Neurospora crassa OR74A: one gene and its partner. The protein of the gene in region 2 interacts with the protein of the main gene of each other region in a biochemical or structural test. Links are inferred from orthologs where the notes say so. Each region holds a gene or a part of one and is shown on either strand. Other genes may lie near its edges. The genes, in order: NCU08951 and NCU16757.

Region 1 (3,824 bases), on a different chromosome or scaffold from region 2:
TCTCTGAGTTCTTCGTTGAGAAGCGCGCCTTTGAGACTGTCGGCATCAACGTCCTCGCTAAGCTGTTTGAGACTGTCGGCCTTTCCGTCTTCCTTACCTGGTGGGGAACGCGCACCAACCCTTTTGAGTAGTGGGTCACCCTATTGTAAAAGAACCTATCTACTACGGTATATCCTGTGGGAACAGTCTGCTGACATGGTTGAAACAGCGCCTCTGCTACCTCCGGATCGCCTACTCTCGGCCGGACAAGCTGGCGTGCCGAGTAAAGGGTCCTTTTTTGAGTAAGAGGAACTCTGGTATGGTTTAATGAAGTTAATGATAATGGGGAACTTGAGTATCGCACCTACAATTTGGAGTGTGGGCGTGTTCCTGGGCATTTCCTGTTTTTTTTCTTGGTACCCTCTGTATTGTATCAAGCTATTAGCATAGTATCAGCATTCCTGAGATGAATGGAAGACGCTGGCGATAACTCACTATTTGGCTCGTGTGCTTGTTGTCTGCTGGTGACCAGGAGTTGTCTTGCATCTGATTGAGTGTTGCGATGGTAGTTGGCCATGTCGATGTTGTGTTGTGTGTCGTGACATAGGCCAGAAGTACAGCCCGCGGCATTCGACCCAAAGACGCTTGAACATATACGAACTGGAAAATGAGAACTGATGAACTTGGTATTCCTTTCTCATATATACCGTACAAAATACAAGTGTTTACCCCGCAACGCCTTCCATATTTTAATGACAGCAAGTAGCCAGCGCCATAAATCCATAACCGAAACCAGGATAGACTAAAACCGTCAACCCATCAATGCTCTCTATCTATAGCTTAGATAAAAGCCCAGAACAACCAAGCCAGCCCATGGGAGCCGACCGGATGTGGTCAATGCGGAAGAGATGATGACCGATATCCGACAATCTTTTCGTGATGAGAGCGAGAGGTGGGAGGAGCCCGAAGCGGAGACAGAAATCGACATCGAGGGAAGAAAAGAGTGATAGAGGTTGTGATTAAGGCGTCACAAACTTGTTCCTCCTTCATCTGTTCCCCAAGCCCAGGCAAAAGTCCATCGAATAACAGTCTTTGCGCTCCCCGCCAGCGTCCAATCTCCAAGATGATCGGTCGCCTGTTTTCTTCTCTCTCAACGGTAAGACGGTCCGATTGTCTGAGCAAAAAGCACGTACGCACACGAACACTCTTGCAACAAGCAGACGCACAATCACACCGGCACCTGCAATAGTGTCATGGTCTCATGTGCTCCCGCTGTCGCCATCATGTCGTTGCAGCCTTTCATCTTTTGTGTGTTTTGTTTCGCTCGAGTCATTGCTCCCGCCAATTTAGGCAGTGCCCTTGACCTTGGCCTCGATCTGGAGCGGGTGAGTACCCTTGACCCAGGGCTCGACCTGGACGTTCCACTGTTTTTGCGCCGTCTTGACCAGCTCCTTGTAGGCCTCGAGGTACTCGGCAGGGTCGACCTTGTCGCCCTCCTCCTTGCCAGAGGACTTCTTGCCCTCGGGCTTGAGCATCACCACCGAGGTGGCGCGCTTGGTGCAGGCGGCAACGCCGAGGTCGGCGCGCGAGCGAATGTACAGGTAGGGAACGCCGTGCTCCTCGCACAGAATGGGGAAGTGCATGATCACGTCCATGGGCGAGATGTCGCCGGCGATGATGACGAGGCCGGGAGCGTCGGCGGGAGGGGAGGCGGCGGTCCGGAGGGGGCACTTCTTGATGGCCTTCTCGCACTCTTTTACGCCGCGGTGGATGGACTTGAGCTTGGCGCCTGTTTGTTTTTTTTAATCAAAAGTTAGCTTGGGTTCAGTACAAGTCGTGCGTGGGCTGCGATTGAGGAGCCTGGCAATGCAATTGGAGAGTAGTCACAAAACGTACCCTTCTTGATCAACTTGTAAATCTTCTTGTGGGTCTTGTCGTCGGCGAGGGGAAGGGCAAAGGGGACGAGGTCCTCGGCGGTCTTGACGACATCCTCAGGGTCGACGGAACCCTCCTTCTCGAGGTGAGCCTCGACGGCCTTGGCGAGCTTCTCGGTCTTCTCCTTCTTCTCCTTCTTGTCCTTCTTCTCCTTCTTGACACCGGCCTCCTCGCTCATCTTCTTCTCCTTCTTGTCCTTCTTCTCGGACTTGTCCTTCTTCTCCTTGATCTTGTCGGTGGCACCCATCTTGTCGGATTAAATGTGTGTGTGTGTTGTTGTTGGTGGTGGTGGTTGGGTGTGTGTAGATAAAGTTGGTGGTGGAGGGGGATGGGGTATCAAACAGGAATTAAAGAATGGTTATACAGACAACCACTGCAGTAAAGAGAAAAAAAAGTTACTGGGTTGGGGCGTCAAGGTATTTGGTATCGTGATGGGGCGGTTGATCGCAGAAATGGATTCTTCAACGCAGATTTTACTGGGTCCATCAAGTGACCCAGTCAATCAAAGCAGAGCGACGCGACCAAAAATTTGTAGGCCAATTGTAAAGCCGTTCCGCCCGGGGGCCGATAATGCAGGTGAGCGCCTGGAATTGGGTGCGATAAGAGGGACCAATTTTCCGATAAGCACGCGATAAGAGGAAATGTCTTAAACTTCCACCTTTTGCTTGGTGGGGCTTTCCATTCAGTACGACAGGGATTAGTAGTAGTCTTGAACTTAAACAAGGCCTGCTTCTAGCCTGCCGCAAACTGGCAAACAGCGGCAGTGCTTTGTCCTTGAAGGCCGGTTGCTTGCCTGCCCCACTAAATTTCTAGAGCTTGTGATACCTACCTCCAAGCGCATTCAGTGTGAGCCATTGACTCACCTCGACAATTCACTGGCAAAAAGTCCACAATCCCAAGCGACATTGGCCCAGTTCTGGAAGCTATTGTTGGAGAACCTTTTTGCGACCAGCAGCCTTGTCATTCCCCCCCGCCTATATCGATTTCATAGATATCCGTCCAGTACCATTCGTAAAGACCATACAGCCTCGAGCAGGGAACAGTCGCACTCTCACTTCGACATCACCTCCACAATACCTCAGTAGCACACAGAGTACTATACACAGCTCATCGCCATGGCGTCGTCGCAAATGAGCTATGCCCCCACGTTGGGCAAGCTCCTCAAGTCTCTCAACACTCAGCCCTTGGAGGCTTCTATCGAGGCTCTTATTTAGTACGCCTACGCCTGCTTCATATCTATCTTATATCAGATCCTAACATGGTTGGGCAGCCTCCTAAAACGTCGCCAAGTCAAGGGCGATGATGTCGCCAATGCCACAGCCCATATGCTGCTCCAGGTCGTCGCCAAGTCTAAGTGGCAGAACGTCGATCAGCTGCTCGCAAAGGTCTCCAACACCGGCCACAGACTTGCCCAAGCTGCTCCCACTGAGCAAGTCATCGGCAACGTTGTCCGCCGAGTAATGGGTCTTATTCGTGATGAGGCTTCCGAGGACAGAAATGCCGACGAGATGGGCGACTCAGTATCCGACCTCTCCCAGCTGCCCACAACGCCCACCATTTCCACAAGGCCAGGCCCCACGCCCCTCCGCGCCGCGACTCTCCCCATGTCCAAGTCCATGTTCAACCTTCTCTGCGTCTCAGAGACCGCACAGTCACCAGTTACCGGCGCATCTACCCCCATGTCCCAGGGCGCATCTGCCAACATGCATGCCCTACGGTCCGAAGTTATCGATGGCATCGAAGAGATTATGGACGAGATCAGCCAGGCGGACGACCAGATTGCGGGTTTCGCGGACATCCAGATTCACCCCGGCGATTACGTGCTCGCCTACCTCCCCTCCCCAACAGTCGAGAGATTCCTCCTCAAAGCCGCAGCAAAGAGGAGGTTTACCGTGTTCATCGCCAGCGCT
Region 2 (4,322 bases):
AAACTCTGAACTTCAATCTTGGACGGCATTCTTTTCTCTCTTTTGTTGTTATCTTTTATATTTTGGTCTTTCTCTTTTTTCCCCAGAGCAAAAAGACAACACTCAAGTGCACTTACACTCCTGGTAATTTTCCTCCAGTTTGCCCGCAGCCTCTCGCGCTTCTCTCCGATTGTAAAGTTGTTTCCAGACCGACATTGACGCCTCGTAAAAGCCCTCCACATCCCAGTGCGAGATTAACCGTTTCGTAGCTCTTGCGTAGCCAGCAGGGCTAATCTGTTCGGCGAGATGGTTCTCAATAGCTTCTGTTTCGTTGACGTTGACCTTTCCCTGGTCGTAACAAGTCTGAACATCTTTGTAAATCTCGCTTAACCGTTCTTCTGGCTGCTTGTCTTCCAGGTCGGACCTTTCTCCGGATGCATGGCCGGCATGGATTTGGTCTCTTCCAAAGCCCACGAAAGATGGATTAAAGAGCCGAATGTAACGTATCTTTTGTTCCAAGGCATTGAGAGAATTCCTCCACCCCCTTTTCCGGAGTTGGTTGACTATGCTTCTTTCGTTTTGTAGAACTCGGACAATCACCAGATTGAGCGCCGCAAGTGTGAAAGTGAGGAGGCCGACAATGTTTGCGGCTGTGGAGAGTTTGCTGTCCTGAGGCTCAGAGTCGTCAGCCATATTGCAATCCTGGAGAGATGATACCTATGCATGCAAATGATGTAATGATATGGAGGAACGAGTTAGTGAAGGGGCCTCAACAATTGACATCGTTAGGGGAAGGTCGAGTTGCGTTTTGATCTATATACGGCTATCGCTGAACAAGGTTACAAGGACATGCGCCGGAACTAACAGTCCACCACCACGGGTCAACCTCAGTCCACACGGACCGCAGCCTGCACGGGCCCTTTAGAGTCACAAGCCATAATGACCCAAGCAGCCACTCAAGCCAATGGCAAAATGCCGGAAAGACGGGGAGGCGGACAACCATGCGCTGCTGTCTGGGTACATTGGTAACGGCTCGTGACCTGTTGTGCGCATAGTCGGCGGAAATAGGCACGAAGAGGCTCGACAATTCTTGATTCTTTTTCGCGAGGGGTGTTGTGGAAGTTGCGGCGTTGGAAGAATGATGGGTAGGAACACCTCGGACGGAGTGGGTGAAGACGAAGAAGAGGTTTCGGGTTGCGAGAGGTTCGTCGTTCGAAGGGGTCAGTTGCGGGCCGTTGATGCTTGGGGTTCAGTCGGTGCTATATCTGACGGGTTGGCGCTCGATATGCGGTCGATGTGTGGTTGCTGCATGGTCGATCATATTGGACTGGGGCCTCTGCTTACCCAGCTAGGCTACCGAAATCCAGTCCAACCCGAGGTTCAGGAGGATGTCGTGCATCTTTGAGGATCCCATTCGACGGCGGCGGTGACGTATACAACTGGGTACTGCCCTTGATTGTACGCAAGTGACCGGACACATAGCTGTCTGTCCGAACATGACCTGGTGCCTGTGCCAAGGACATTTTAATGCCCCAATTTCATCCACCGTCAACGTGAAGGCTTGTGAAGCCAGATCCAGATGCGCTCAGTTTGATGTGTTGTAGTCCAAAGAAACCGAAATTAGCAGACAGAGAAAACCGAGAGATGCCTACAGAGATAAAAACACAACTTGCCGAACCCTCCTGATGCGGCAGAAAGAATTTGTCCCTTCCATAACGCCACAAGCCATAGCCATTTTGAGGACCATGTTTAACAAAACCCAAGAACCTGGTAAAGCAACAAGTCTTTCTTCCGCTCCCTTTCCTTTCCAAGCAGCGCCAGCAGCAGCACCACTGGTTGGTGTCTTCGTCGTCGTCGTCGTCGTCACTCCTTCGCAACCGCTTAGTAGCCACCACGACCACCGCGGCCGCCACCGCGGGAGAAACCGCCGCCACCACGGCCACCACCACCCCTCGAGAAGCCGCCGCTGCCACCGCGACCGCCGCCCCTGCTGAAACCACCACCGCCGCCGCGGGAGAAGCCACCACCACCACCGCGAGAGAAGCCACCGCCGCCGCCGCGAGAGGAGAAGCCGCCACGGCCGCCACCGCGGGCACCGCCTCTGGGACCGCCACGACCACCAGCACCACCACGGCCAGCCTTCTTCACCTTGGGGGCGCCGAGAACCTTGGGCTTGGGGAGGAAACGCTCGAGAGGGAGGAGCTTCTCGGAGCCGACGAAGACCTTGTCGCCGGGCTTGAAGGAAGTAGCGACGATGCCGGTTTGGGGCTTGACGGTGAAGTAAACCTGAAAGAAGGAGAGGAGTGTTAATTTGATGTGCTATGGTTCATGTTTCGGAGGGAAGTGCGCACCTGGTTGAGAGGACCGAGAACCTCATCGATCTTGCCGATGGGGGTCTTGTTCTCAAGGAAGACCTGAGCGTTGAAATGGGGGATCTTGGGGTTGGTGGACTTGTAGAACATCTCGCCCTCGACGGCGTGCTCGAAGGTGCCGAGCTCGAGAACCTGGGCGGGGGGACCATCGTCGCGCTGACCGAAGCCACCACGGCCGCCTGTTGTAGGATATCTATGTTAGTTGTCATTGAACATTGGGGAAGAAGTATGGGTGAAAAGGTAAATCGCCCTGAGTGGCGCCAATGGTTGACGGCAAAGTGCGACCAAGGCGACGACATCAAGGTGTGCGATAACGGTTGATAATAGAAGAATAATGCGGCGTACCTCTGAAGCCGCCACGGCCACCGCGGTCACCACCTCCTCCACGACCTCTGAAAGACATGATTTGTTGGTTGGATTGGGTTGTTTGTTGAAATGGGAATACGGCAAGGGTGCGTCTTGCGTCTCCTCGCGCGTCAGTGAATTGGAGGACCGTCGGGTTCGGAGTGAGATGTTGACAATGATCGTTTCGCCGGCGCAGACAATTGAAATTTTTCCGTGTTCCTGGAAGACTGAAAGAGTAGCAATTTTTCCCGGCCGGCAATCGTCTGCAGATGTCCACCACCCCACCTAAGCCAGTCCCATTTTCAAACGGTTCCTGGCGGCGCATTGGCTCAATGCGAATTGTGGATGGACCAGGGTTAGTGGCTGCTGTGGGCTGTGGGTCCGTGCCCGGGGCCCTAAGAAACGCGAATGTGGGGATTTCGACATCACTTTGTGCAGCCCTGTAACAGTTTGACGGGAACACTTTCCGACTTCATCGATGCATTTTGCAGCTTCAAGTACAGCAGCTGTTCGCCTCATCACACTACACGACGCTCTGAAATTACCGTAATCGTATGGACATACTTGACCTCACCGCCCTCGACCCGGATCTCATGGCTATCCGGCATATTCCCCAGCGCATCAAACGAGCACAGCACGTCAACCGAACCCATCACCTCATCGATGACATATCGCCGATTTCCGTTGCGCTTTGAACTGCCTCCTCTCGGTAACTGAACACCACACGGTCTGGTATACTGCGATCCTTCAACGCGTTCACAGTCGGCCCCCCATGGAATACTATCAGCCGCCTTTGCATCCGTCCACATGTCGAGATAAGCATCCCCGACCTTTCTCAACAGTTCTCGACTTGGCCGATTCGCCGCCGTCTCAATGACGCCCCAGTTCTCCTTCTGGATGTACCCGAACGTCTTTTGGGCGTTGAAGAACAAGGACCCCGTCGTGGCAGCGATGGTGTCGATAGATGAGATGGTTGATGTGTCTCCATCGGCTGGATGACGGATCTGGGTTGCCGTGACATAGGGCTTGGAGTTGGAACCGCTCGCCAATGAGATGATCATGGTGTAGCTGGCGCAGGCAATGGTGTCGGCCGTTGATCGGTTGAGGCTGATGTTGTGCGACTGGCTGAGGATGCCGCGCTTGATGTCGGCTGCCTTGTTGTTTTCCTGGTAGGCAAAGTTGCTCAAGGTGAGTTGGAGGCCGTCAAGTCTGCCGGCGGAGAAGGCGTCTACATAACTGTTGGCTGCTGCTAGCAGTCCCTCCCGGGTACATTTCGCGAAAACAGAAGTAATGAGTGCAAGGAAGCAGACAACGGTGAACCAGACCGTGTCTTTGGCAGATCTGGACAGCATCGTGATGTGAAGGTAGGTGCTTGGCTGTGATTAGAGTAGCTGTTTCGGCCATGGACAACTTTGGTTCACGATGCTCGGCTGAGTGCTTAAGTACTCACTTCCAGGAGCCGATAGCTTCTGCCGAGTCTTCATCCTCGACCCCGTTTCATGAGTAGGCCTGCTGTGGATAAATGGAGGGCACTGATTAATTCTGCGAGGGGCACTTTACCACAGAGATATTACTTGCCGTTCCCCCTCTTACAATCTCCTGATATTGGCTGGCTTTAGGCTTTGT

What was found.
Region 1: the proteins of NCU16757 (region 2) and NCU08951 form a complex in vitro, tested with the Saccharomyces cerevisiae proteins (2 studies listed by BioGRID). The link is inferred for Neurospora crassa OR74A from reciprocal best matches to the Saccharomyces cerevisiae genes GAR1 and NHP2.

The regions. Positions count from the first base shown.
Region 1 is NC_026505.1:5,798,281-5,802,104, forward strand, and holds NCU08951 (ribosome biogenesis protein Nhp2), read right to left. Parts: upstream 2,415-3,824; 5' UTR 2,162-2,414; coding exon 1,876-2,161; intron 1,769-1,875; coding exon 1,326-1,768; 3' UTR 577-1,325; downstream 1-576. Other genes in the region: NCU08949 (hypothetical protein), read left to right, coding at 1-130, 209-266; NCU08952 (translation regulator GCD7), read left to right, coding at 3,030-3,127, 3,185-3,824. UniProt on the Saccharomyces cerevisiae protein: Non-catalytic component of the H/ACA small nucleolar ribonucleoprotein (H/ACA snoRNP), which catalyzes pseudouridylation of rRNA and is required for ribosome biogenesis.
Region 2 is NC_026504.1:1,399,858-1,404,179, reverse strand, and holds NCU16757 (H/ACA ribonucleoprotein complex subunit 1), read right to left. Parts: upstream 2,936-4,322; 5' UTR 2,755-2,935; coding exon 2,697-2,754; intron 2,531-2,696; coding exon 2,331-2,530; intron 2,266-2,330; coding exon 1,861-2,265; 3' UTR 745-1,860; downstream 1-744. Other genes in the region: NCU07902 (hypothetical protein), read right to left, coding at 117-672; NCU16756 (hypothetical protein), read right to left, coding at 3,215-4,048. UniProt on the Saccharomyces cerevisiae protein: Non-catalytic component of the H/ACA small nucleolar ribonucleoprotein (H/ACA snoRNP), which catalyzes pseudouridylation of rRNA and is required for ribosome biogenesis.